3 linked regions of the Styela clava genome follow. The protein of the gene in region 1 purifies or fractionates together with the protein of each later gene. This does not show direct contact. Links are inferred from orthologs where the notes say so. Each region holds a gene or a part of one and is shown on either strand. Other genes may lie near its edges.

Region 1 (3,758 bases):
AACTCGGAGTTTTATTATTTAGCTCAGTACTGGATAATATAAGATTTGTAATATTAAATTTGAACAATAGAATGATACAGTCTATATTATTTATACATGAGAACAAAAGAAAGAGATTCATTTAGTTAGCAAAGAGCTTGTCTAGTTTTGCAGAGCGGTAATCTGAACGAAGCTGAATAAATGAATGTAAAACAGTGCGATCGAGATTTGACAATTGTTCACCAGTGCAAACTTGTCTTAAATTTTCTGGGGCAACTACTAATAGATTACATAGGGAATGTAAACTTTCGAACAAATTCGTGACGAAGGGTACACAAAGCTTTTCTGCACATTTCCTGTATTCATTAATATCACAAATTGCCATCATTCCCCCCATAAAACTGAATCTGAAAAGCTGGAAATGTTCAAAAAGTAGGCGATGAAATCTTTTTCCATATTCTGCAAGAACTGCTTCAACATTGTTTCCATCAAGAGATTTTCTGATATAATCCATGATTCTGTTGAAATACGCACATACTGTGTTACATGCCTGCGTACATTGACGCTCAGGTGGTTTATCAGTCGAATAATCATTCTTTTTCTGTTCAGTTTTAAATATGGTCTTCATCCATCCTATGGCAGCTTGAAGACAGCGATCAATACCAGAATCAAGTTTAACTTCCATTTGCTCACGGATTTGTTTCTTTCTCTGAATGCATTCACCGTATCTTGAAGAAGAACTGATTAAAGGCAGAAGAGTGTCGCTGAACTGTTTTTCAAAAAGATGAAAAATGATGTTTGTTTGTTGAGAGACATCAAAAAAATACAAATTAGGTTCAGCTTTGCATTCAGCTGTAGGTATGCCCTGTAAACACAATTCAATAGCATATCCGATGTGTTGATCACATAAATATTCTACCAATAGATTGAAGATCTGAACAGAATTATTGCTCAAAACAGATGAGCTTGACAAAACTCTGCATCTTGCAAAAGCCATTTTTGTTTCTTGAAGCAGATTGATGGCCAATTCCTGTGAAAGATAAGTTTCTCCACTGGTATTTTCAGGAACATTGCTACTCATTCCAAATGTAATATGTCCTCTGCTTTTGTCCGCAATGACGGCTTTTAATGAAGATACAGCCGCGACAGGTTTTTTTACATGATCTTTTGAATCATAGAAACGTTGGGATATCATCATTGCTTTATCCTTTAGGAATTTTATTTCAACATCGATGTAAGAGTCGAGATAACTTTTGAAAATGCCGTTCGTCAATTTTGTGATGAAATTAGAATCTGAACCCAATTTAAATTGAGAAAGCTTTTGAGATAATTCTACAGTTTTTGAATATAGTGTATAGAGATTTTGTAAATACTTTTCAGGGTCTGTGGTTCTACTTTCACTGAGCTTTTTTTCAACTTGATCCTTGAGTTTGCTTTGGTATATTTTTGACAACAGTTTGCCCATAACTTGTTCTGGTGATGAAAACACTTCAGCAATGATCTTGCTGACTTTTGTACACAAGTCTAATATTTCGTTAAATATGTCGTTTTTGTTGTAGAATGCATTCTTTATATTTTCATCTATAAATGCATCAATACAGTGTTGATAACCTGTAAACAAAGAAAGCGTAGATGCAAGTTCTTGCATTTTTTTCACTTCTCCATTCCTGTGAGCTTCCTTGAACTCATCAATTAATTCTTCTTCAATTTGATGGTACTTGGAAACAATTCTGCCTTTCACTTCAGAGAACCTATCGTATGGTAATTCTTGCGCAATAAGATGTAGCTTATGTACAATTTCAGCAGCCTCTCGCACTCTATACTGGTTTGTCAGGACTTCAGATGTGAGTTTCCCGGTCAAAAACTCGTCAAAATATTGCATGAGTTGGTGAGCTTCTGCAGCATGTGCTCTAGGTGTATTTACACCTTCTAACTGATCCCCGAGATGAACTACTTTGGTAGCAACGTAATTAATTCGATCATCCAATGCCTGGAACTGACCAAAAGCCTCTTGATTTTTCTTTTGCAACTCCATGAGTCTATCTTTATGTAAACGCGATTCTTTTTCAAGAGCAACGTCCAACTTCTCAGCTTTTTGCTGAATTCTAGCATCAAGTATTTTCAGTTCATTAATGTGAGCCACGAATTCATCATACAAGAGTCGAGGGTTAAATCCTTGAGCTCCGCCTTTTGTACCCCCACCGGGTGTTCTCCATGCCAGTCTTTCAACATATTCAGTTGGGTCAAAAGGATCTTCAAACAGTTCAGCGGACGCCATCCATGCACAGTAAATATACAACTTGGTTTCTATCCTAATGAATATCTAGTTATATATCTAAACATAACACAAGATCCATTATGCAATAGAATATAAAAACACAAAAATATGTGTCTTCAAAGCTTATTATACACCACTTTAATGAATTTATGCATGAAAATTGAATTACGAAGAAAATAGTATTTGAGAGAATATATAGAAATTAGCAGAGAATAAACCTTGCCCAAATGGGTCATGAAACAAAGAAAATCAAAACTAATTTCATAACCAGGAACTCATTTATTTATACACTTGCACCGAATTAAGTAATGCATTATAAAAATAACATAATTTCCGTCACATACAATATTATTATCAAAAACATGTGGAAACATCAGACTGTAAAAACAATGAAGTATCAAGTGTTATTTCAGTCACTATTGAACTTTATTAGATGTGAAACTTTCACGATTTAAAATAATTTTTACATAATCACAGTAATTATAGTAAATATAAAATAATCTAACTCGAAAAACATTATTGTCATACTACTGAAAAAAAAAAATTCGTGGCAATTACTATTCATGCATAATCATGTTCTATTTACAGTTTATTTTCATTGATCTTTGTGACAGCTTCATGCAGGGACTGAGCGAAGTAGTCAATGTTACCTTCAGTCAGACCACACATGCTGATACGCCCAGATTTCATCAGATAGATGTGCTTCTGTTTTACCATGAATTCACATTGAGCTTGGTTGAGACCTGTATAGCTAAACATTCCAATTTGATTAACAATATGATCCCAATTTCCTGGAGTGCCAAGTATTTTTAGCTTTTCATGCAGAGATTTCCTCATTTGCTTAATTCGAGCTGACATGGTGCGAATGTTATCATGCCATTCGCCCAATGAAGATGGATTACATAGTGCTGTTGCAACCACCCTTGCACCATGGTTTGGTGGGTTTGAATACATTCCTCTGATAATCAACTCCAATTGAGATCTGCTACGTGTCAGCGAATCTGGATCCTTCATCACCATTGCGAGATTTCCGACTCTTTCATTGTAAAGACCAAAATTTTTCGAAAATGACTGACAAACAAAGAACTCGAATCCACATTTTTCAAAGTGACGAATACTCCATGCGTCAACATCTGGATCACCAGTGGCAAATCCTTGATAAGCAGAATCGAATACAGGAAAGTGATTTTTTTGTTTACAAACATCTGCTATCTCCTTCCATTGCTCTTGAGTAGGGTCTACACCAGTGGGATTGTGAGCACAGGCATGAAGGATGACGATAGAAACCTCGGGAAGCTGTAGCAAGTCCTCTTTCAAACCAGCTAAATCGAGGCACCTGTTCTTTGCATCCCAGTATCTGTATTTACGGCGATCCGTAAACCCAGCGTATCTAAAAATAGCATCATGATTTGCCCATGTCGGGTCAGGATAACTTACAACGGTGCTTTCCACATGAGTATTGTAGAAACGTTTCAAAAACTCAGCAGCAAGTCGAAGTGCA
Region 2 (3,758 bases), about 6.3 Mb from region 1:
ACCAAATCTCATCGTTGGCTACGTAGTTGCAGCCGGCAACTTGCCTCCCTACCTTCCCCGCAGCAGCAGCAGCCATTTTTGGAAAAAGTCACTCAGAAGAAATTGTGACAAGACTTGCAAGCGATCAGCTGATACAGTTACTATGGTGACTATAATCGCCACCTAGTGAGCTCATGACGGAATAAAATCGGCCGACCTTTCACCCCAAAACGTTTAACTTCCCAGACTAAATTTTTACGTTTTGCATAGTCAGATACGGTAGTGATTTCCTTTGCGTATTTCAAAAGATTTTCGAGTGCATTGAATCGGTATATCAGTATATTGGTACGGTAAATCTTATTCATAAATTATATTTCAGTATTTGACGTTTTGAAGTCATCTGGAATAGATATGGAAAATTTATTCTATCTTAACGATTGTTAAATGAGTAGCTCATTTCAGTATTCACAAATAGCATTACCGGTACCGTATTATAAATTCCCTACCGTACTCAATTATTGAGTCATAATTCAGTACTGGTAATTGTTCTAACAGGACAGTAGGAGAGAGGGTTCAGGGTCCACGAAAATACAAAATATACAGGACAAAGGCTCAAAACAGGCAAACGATCACCCAAGTCTGCAAGTTGAGCAAGCTACAAAGTCAGAAAGTGGGTCTCATGTAGTTTCGTACCTAACATACTTCTAGTGGGCGTAGCATGACAATTTTTCCTCGTTTCAATCCTAACCCCCACCTGACTACACCATCCAAAAAGTACGTCATTACGACGTCACAGTGACGTAATAGAGCCCTTCAAACTATACGAACTGCCATCCAAGACGCGCAAACGAGCACACGAAATCGAACAGTTACTTCTCTCGTTTTCTCGTCGCAACGATTCCAATAGGAGCGAGATCGATAACATCAGTCAGTTCTTCATCGTCGATTCAATTTTTCGATGGCGTAGTCAGATGGGGGTTAGGATTGACATATCAAAAAATTGTTATGCTACGCCCACTAGAAGTACGTTAGGTACGAAACTACACGAGACCCCTACAAAGTATGTATACATCGTCATACTCATACCGGTACTCGCTCTTGTTTCTGTGTTTCCTCATCTTTGTATCATTTCTCGATTTTGAGGGCATGATTTCCTTTTAGACGACAGTTCTTATATTTTGGCATGCCTTATTTCGTCACTGTGATGTCGTAGTGACATAATTTTGGATGATTACGTATCCGTTTTGATATAAAATTGAGAACATAAATTTATTTTAAATGTTTCTTTATAGGACATTGATTTGTGCTTAATAACCATGCTCTATAGTTTACAAGCAGACAAGAGCGAAATACTTTATAATATAGTATCAGCAGCAAAATGTCAACATTTTTTGTAATATCGGCTTGATTTTTTAAGGGGGAGGTGCTATACGCAATCCTGGTTATGAAAAACAATTCCTAAGCACAATCTAGAAGTTTAGAACTCAAACACATGAATTTATTAGTTTAACTTACATTTCTCTTTTGCTCCTTCTAAAGTTCAAATTTCAAACAAGTAATCTTTATTTGACAATGTTTTAGCACTGTTATAAATAATTGTCATATTAGAATGGAAAGTGCTTCTCAACCTGTGCCTAAAAAGTCTACTGCTTTAGCAAAGACGATTGGACACAGAAACTTTGATCCAAAGCAATATGCAAAGAGCATCAGTGCCCAATCAGATGGAGATAAAGATCTACAGGAGCACAAACAGAGAGTACAGACATTGGGTGAAGAAACTGCTCATATTTTGAAGAAACAAGTCTATAAATACTATGAGCAATTCATTGAAACTGCAAAAGAAATTTCTTACGTTGAGGGTGAAATGTTTCAGCTCAATCATATATTAACAGAGCAAAAGAATCTTATGGATTCGATGGCAAATATTTTTCTTATAAAAGAACAGCCACAGTATGGTGCAAATGAAAAAAAAAGCAAAGAAAATATCAAAAAAGATGAGCAACGTAAAGTTATGAGATCTTTAGTAGAGAAAGTTCAAGGGTGTCCAGATATCACTGATGTTTCTACTAGATTTCTTATTCATGATGGTGATCTTTCAGAGCTTGATATGGATAATTTTTCTCCCATTCGTAAAGTTCATCTATTTCTTTTTAATGATGCGTTGATGGTGACAACCTGGGCTGGTTTAAGAAGAGGACAACCAGTCCCTGGTAAATATAAATTTGAATGTCTTTTTGATTTGGAAAATCTGGCCGTTATCAATGCTCGAGATGCTGGACCAGTCAAATGTGCTTTCAAGATTTTGATTTTTCCTGATTCCAATATGTTTCAATGTGAAAGTTCAAAGGAAAAAAGAGAATGGCTTGACATTTTAGAAGAAACAAAGAAAAAGTTTTTGGCAGACAGAGAACATAATTCCCCTGTGTCACCTACAACTCCTATGTCACCAAATTTAGATCCGTTTAATCCTTTTTCTGAATCGCCTGGTAAATCATCAGGGTCAAAAAAGATGGAAGGAAATGCATCACTGGATAATGATAAATTAAATGAGGTTTGGATTCAAGAAATGCCTGAAGATTTAGATGTTTACATTGCCCAGCGATATTTCAAAGAAGCTGTAGAATTAGTGTTAAAGACAAAAGCCTTTTTAGATGGCATTGGTGAAAGTGCAACAAAGAAAGAAGTCGATGCTAAGTTATCAGCAAGAACGTCTCAACTTGTGAGTGTGTTGACCAAAGAACTACAAACTGCTCCTGATCGAAGTCATCGTGGTGGTCCCAGAGCAGCACGGAATCCTGTTTTGCTTCTCATTAAGCTTGGGGAAAGTACCAAAGCCTGTCAGTTATTCCTACACAATCGCTCTAGTGCAGTTTCATATGCTCTTAAACAATTAAGAACGGAGGGATATCTTCAATTATACATTGCTAAAATGTGTAAAGTTTTTTTTAACAATCTAAAAGAAACACTCAAAGAATTTGAAACTGCTTTTAAAGATCATCCGGGTTGTTACTCTACTTTTGTCGTTTGGTCACAAACGGAGATTAAAGTATTTGTTGGAAAAATTTCGCAACAAGTTTTCACTAGAAAAGCTGATATTGCTGAAATAGGAGACTGCACAAAAACTGTGTTTTCTCAAAGCAAGGCTGTTCATATCATTGGATTAGATTTGGATTTTGCTGTTACTTCACTACTTGTACAAGACATTGAATCAACAATCATAGATCATAAGCAAAAATTGATTGATGCTATTAAGCTACGTAGCTCTGAAGAATTGTGGAAACCAACTAATGCTAAGACACCACAGGCTCTTTTGAAAATACAAGAAGAAATGACTGGATATGGAATTTTAAACATTGGTCAATATTGCTTTGATGATTGCTTCTGCTATCTCACACTTTCAACATTAGCTTTTACAAGAGCCATTGTTATTCATGTGGACAGTGTGATAAAAATGTACCTACCGGAAATTCAAAAACTTCTTCTTGATTCTGTTGAAGAAATCGAACGATGCTACACTGATTTTGTTGCTGGTTGTCTCCGCTGTGAACAGGAAAGACCTGAGAAAGCACGGCTCATCAAACGTAATGCCATGTTTGTTGCCGAGTCATTGTTGCCACTGATAGAAAACAAAATTCAAAAATGTGTTTTACAAATTCCTAAACAACTCACTGATCTGAGAAGAGATTTTATTAAACAAACTTCTAGTTAGTGGAGAACTTTTTTTTGCTTGAAAATTGTTCCAAATACTATGAAAGCTAGGTTGTATATTTTTTTACTTT
Region 3 (3,758 bases), on another chromosome or scaffold:
TGAGATTTATATTCAAGTTTCCGAAACACAACAGAAAACTAACGATTAAAGTTCAAAAACGCGAAAACGAGGTAATGTTCACGGCCACGCTTGAAAATTTGTCTGAGTGAGAAAAGTGTCTGAGTGGAAGCGAAAAAGGAGCATTGTTACGTCACATTTGCATCTTGCTGATTAACCAATGTCTCAAAATTAATAAGGAAGTCGATGCTCGGGGAAAGGTTCGTACTTCACCATTCTGGCATTGCAAAATTTTTGAGACTGTAGTGATTCAGATTCAGATAGGCCTATTTATTTTTCGTCATGCACTGATCAATATAAAGCAAAAGAAAAACATAGTAAACTAAAAAAGGGGGTAACATTAATTCACAGCAGTTAACATGGTACCCTGTATCACGAAAGACTCACAGACTCAGTGAGTCATACAGTCAGCGACACTCAATGCTGTATTACTGGTATAGCAGCAAATTGAAGCAATCTGATAAAAAAGTTATCTCTATTTATATTATTTAGTTATCTCTAAATTACACAATCATGGGAAAACATCACAACAACAAATCGAATTACAAAATTAAGTCAGATAACAGCAAAATTTGGTTGGAACGAAATTCTGTAACGTTTAAAAATCATAACCCAAGTATAAATGTTATTATGAAAATTAGGAAATCAGTTGTAACAAGAAGAAATATAGAAAAAGTGAGAAAGGAATTTAGTTGTAGGCTATAAAAGAACTTGCCATGATAAAGTGATATGTAATAACTTGTGACTGATTATGGATAATTATTTTTTCATGCTAAATAATTGTATTCTTACGTAATTTGTATTACTACAGTACTAAATCGATTACGGAATTATCCTGATGTTACTAATGTCTGAATGTATATGTTTGTTCACTTTTTGTACACAATACTCAGTGTGTCTTTATTAATAATTATTTTATTTACTTATTGAACAATCCAACCATTAAAAAAGTTGCTTAAACCCTTTGTGAAAGCATGAAATCAGGAAGTGGACATAGACAAACATGATCAGAATTACCAAAGCTTGTTGCTTTGGTTTTCAAGAAAACCTGTTCATATTTTTAGATGATAAATATACGCTAATATCTTTTTTCTATGAAAGTATCTGTAGTATTGACATATATTTATTGATTGTGAGCCACAAACTGCTTCTTAGGCAGTTAGGCAACACACACTCTGACACCACTGCACCAGGACACTGTAAAAAATGGAGATTAGTGACACTGCCGAGGCGGCTGAATCTGAAGCACAAGCTAAGGCAATCCAGCAAGTTGCCAGCATGCTTCTTCGACCTGACCAGTTGGATAAAGTTGATCAATACAGACGAAGAACTGCAAGAAAAAAGGTTGAAAAATAAAACTTTCCTCTTACTAATTTATATATATATATGCATTTTGGTCTTCTTTTGATCAGTGTCTCACATTTTAAAATTGATTTAAAAGGTATTGCCCGATTTTACATAGTGTCTTTATGTTATTGTGTTCTTTTGACTGTTTTTGGACTGTGGACGAGCACATACTTGTACGTTTTTAACTTTTTTATTAAGTTATGTCTGTGTCCGTTCTCCAGGTCCTCTGCATTTTGTTTGTTCGTTTGTTGTTGTTTTGTTTCTTTCAGAGTGACCAAAATAAAATTGTTGAAATTGAATAAAAACTGAAATTGTAGTAATCTCAATTTTTAGGCATCGTTTGAGGCAAGATTAAAAGCAGCTGTCCAATCCCAATTAGATGGAGTGAAAGCAGGACTTTCACAATTAACAGAAGCATTAGAGGAAGTTAAAAATGTGAAAAAGAAAATGACTGAAGTTGATGAAATGTATTTGTCTTGTGGAACATTAAGCGATAAAATGAGGTTTGTTTGATTTCAATTGTTTATATGAGTTTACCTCGGCGGTGTGGCGCATCACGCTAAACGCTAGGAATACGCTCGCAACCACATCTCTGATTACCCTGCATGGGTTCGAATCCCATGCGAGGTTAATAATGTGCGAGAGGATTGCTGGACTTCTCGCCGTCGTAGGGTGGTTCATGTAACTACTGGTCGGTTACGGCTTTCTCCACAATCAAGTCCATGCATCTGAAAACAAATAACTGGCAAACTAATCCCATACCGGACATGGACTGCTAACCGGACGAGAGGTCGTGGTTCTCCATATGATTAATCCGTTATATCGGATTTCTTCTCCCCTAGGATAATTATGTAAATCCTATCCACTATGAATTGAGCAGATGCTGTGTGTTTGCAATACCAATTAGTTGTATTTTACTGTTCATTTTCATTCTATTTTCCCACATTTTCACAAATATATTCATGTATTTTTTGAGTAGCTATTATCACTGTTATTTGTAAATGTAGCTGAGGAGCTAGGTCACTGGTAGACTTTCAACTTTACATTAGAATGCCAGGAAGGGCGACTACCATGACCACCTTGAACCCTACATACTTTCGCTGACTTTTTTCATTCTAATTTATCTGTATATATCAGTTCTATAAGTACTTTGTTATTACCACGCTACCTATCTTGATACTGAAAATTCTATTTTGTATGGTGTGCTCTTCACTTAATTTTTATATGCGAACTTCCTATAATTATTTTATTTGTTGCGATGGCCTTGGGGTTCAAAGGTTAGACTTATAATTGTGTTTGTATCACCGGTTACACATTTCTGGTTTTATTAAACTCACGTCCACAAACTGGTCAATATAATGAATTGGGATTCTGGTTCCTTCGCAAAATAATAGCTTCTCACTCAGTGGCGATAACCCGACACCCTAAAAATGACCCTAAAACGGTGATTTTATAAAAATTCGCATATAAGCCCACCCTACAAATCGTACGCTCTCATCGTGAGAATTAAGTTAACATAATGTCATTTCGTTTGAGTGCAGTCAGAACTATGTGTGTATAAGCCGAATTTTTAGTGCGATCGGAGTTATGTGTGTATAAGCTGACCCCTTTGTTTGGTAACTTTTTTATTTGAGTTTTGAACTCATCTATATGCGAGGATATACGATAATTGCAATTTTCATTCAGTTCCTGGCTGTAATTGATTTTTCTAACTTCAGAGATATTAAAGATGTCAGTGCACAACATCGTCAACTTGCTGCTGCAATGGAAAATTTAAAACATATCTTTGCTGTTCCTGAAGAAGTTGAAAAAGCCAGAGTGATGATCAAAAATGGAGATTTATTGGAAGTATGTTTGTTTATGCATTGAAAGCATAGTTGTTAGAAATTAATACGAATCGACCATTCCCAGTGTACTATTAGCTATATTTCTTTTAAAGTAGCCTATACTACTCATAATTTGTTCCTAACAGCCAAACCTAAAAACGAACATAAGGTGGAAATCACAACTAAATACAGGTACGGCCTTGAAATAAGCTCAAAAGATTGCCCCTAATTGATAATGACAGCTGGTCAAAAAAGTTAACTCTGTGAAAAGCTGCCTTTGTTTTACTGTTGTTGTCAGTGTTCTTCGATAAATCCCTATATAGCCTAGCCTCATAGCGGAAGAAAAATTGAATTTTATATTTGCTTAATCGGAAGTCAAAATATTTTGTATTTTTTTACTTGTTTCGTTTCATGCTGCTGTTCCATTTGTATAAATTTGATTTATTTTTCCAGGCCCATAAATCTCTCACTGATCTGGAAACATCTCGTGATGATTTGTTATATGAACAACACAAGCTGGAAAACAGGAGTACGGCAGATATGAAACAACTTCAGAGATTTTTTGCG

Evidence for each region.
Region 2: the proteins of exocyst complex component 5-like (region 1) and exocyst complex component 8-like purify together in Homo sapiens (affinity purification with mass spectrometry; 5 studies listed by BioGRID and IntAct, counting the BioPlex papers as one, with this or other methods). This does not show direct contact. The link is inferred for Styela clava from reciprocal best matches to the Homo sapiens genes EXOC5 and EXOC8.
Region 3: the proteins of exocyst complex component 5-like (region 1) and exocyst complex component 3-like purify together in Homo sapiens (affinity purification with mass spectrometry; 7 studies listed by BioGRID and IntAct, counting the BioPlex papers as one, with this or other methods). This does not show direct contact. The link is inferred for Styela clava from reciprocal best matches to the Homo sapiens genes EXOC5 and EXOC3.

What each region holds. Positions count from the first base shown.
Region 1 is NC_135260.1:8,675,238-8,678,995, forward strand, and holds the start of exocyst complex component 5-like, read right to left. Parts: upstream 2,258-3,758; coding exon 122-2,257; 3' UTR 1-121. Other genes in the region: aspartate aminotransferase, cytoplasmic-like, read right to left, coding at 2,840-3,758. UniProt on the Homo sapiens protein: Component of the exocyst complex involved in the docking of exocytic vesicles with fusion sites on the plasma membrane.
Region 2 is NC_135260.1:14,961,103-14,964,860, reverse strand, and holds the start of exocyst complex component 8-like, read left to right. Parts: upstream 1-1,540; 5' UTR 1,541-1,588; coding exon 1,589-3,688; 3' UTR 3,689-3,758. Other genes in the region: ciliary microtubule inner protein 1-like, read right to left, coding at 3-76. UniProt on the Homo sapiens protein: Component of the exocyst complex involved in the docking of exocytic vesicles with fusion sites on the plasma membrane.
Region 3 is NC_135263.1:15,177,477-15,181,234, reverse strand, and holds the start of exocyst complex component 3-like, read left to right. Parts: upstream 1-1,061; 5' UTR 1,062-1,224; coding exon 1,225-1,362; intron 1,363-1,698; coding exon 1,699-1,868; intron 1,869-3,083; coding exon 3,084-3,213; intron 3,214-3,644; coding exon 3,645-3,758. UniProt on the Homo sapiens protein: Component of the exocyst complex involved in the docking of exocytic vesicles with fusion sites on the plasma membrane.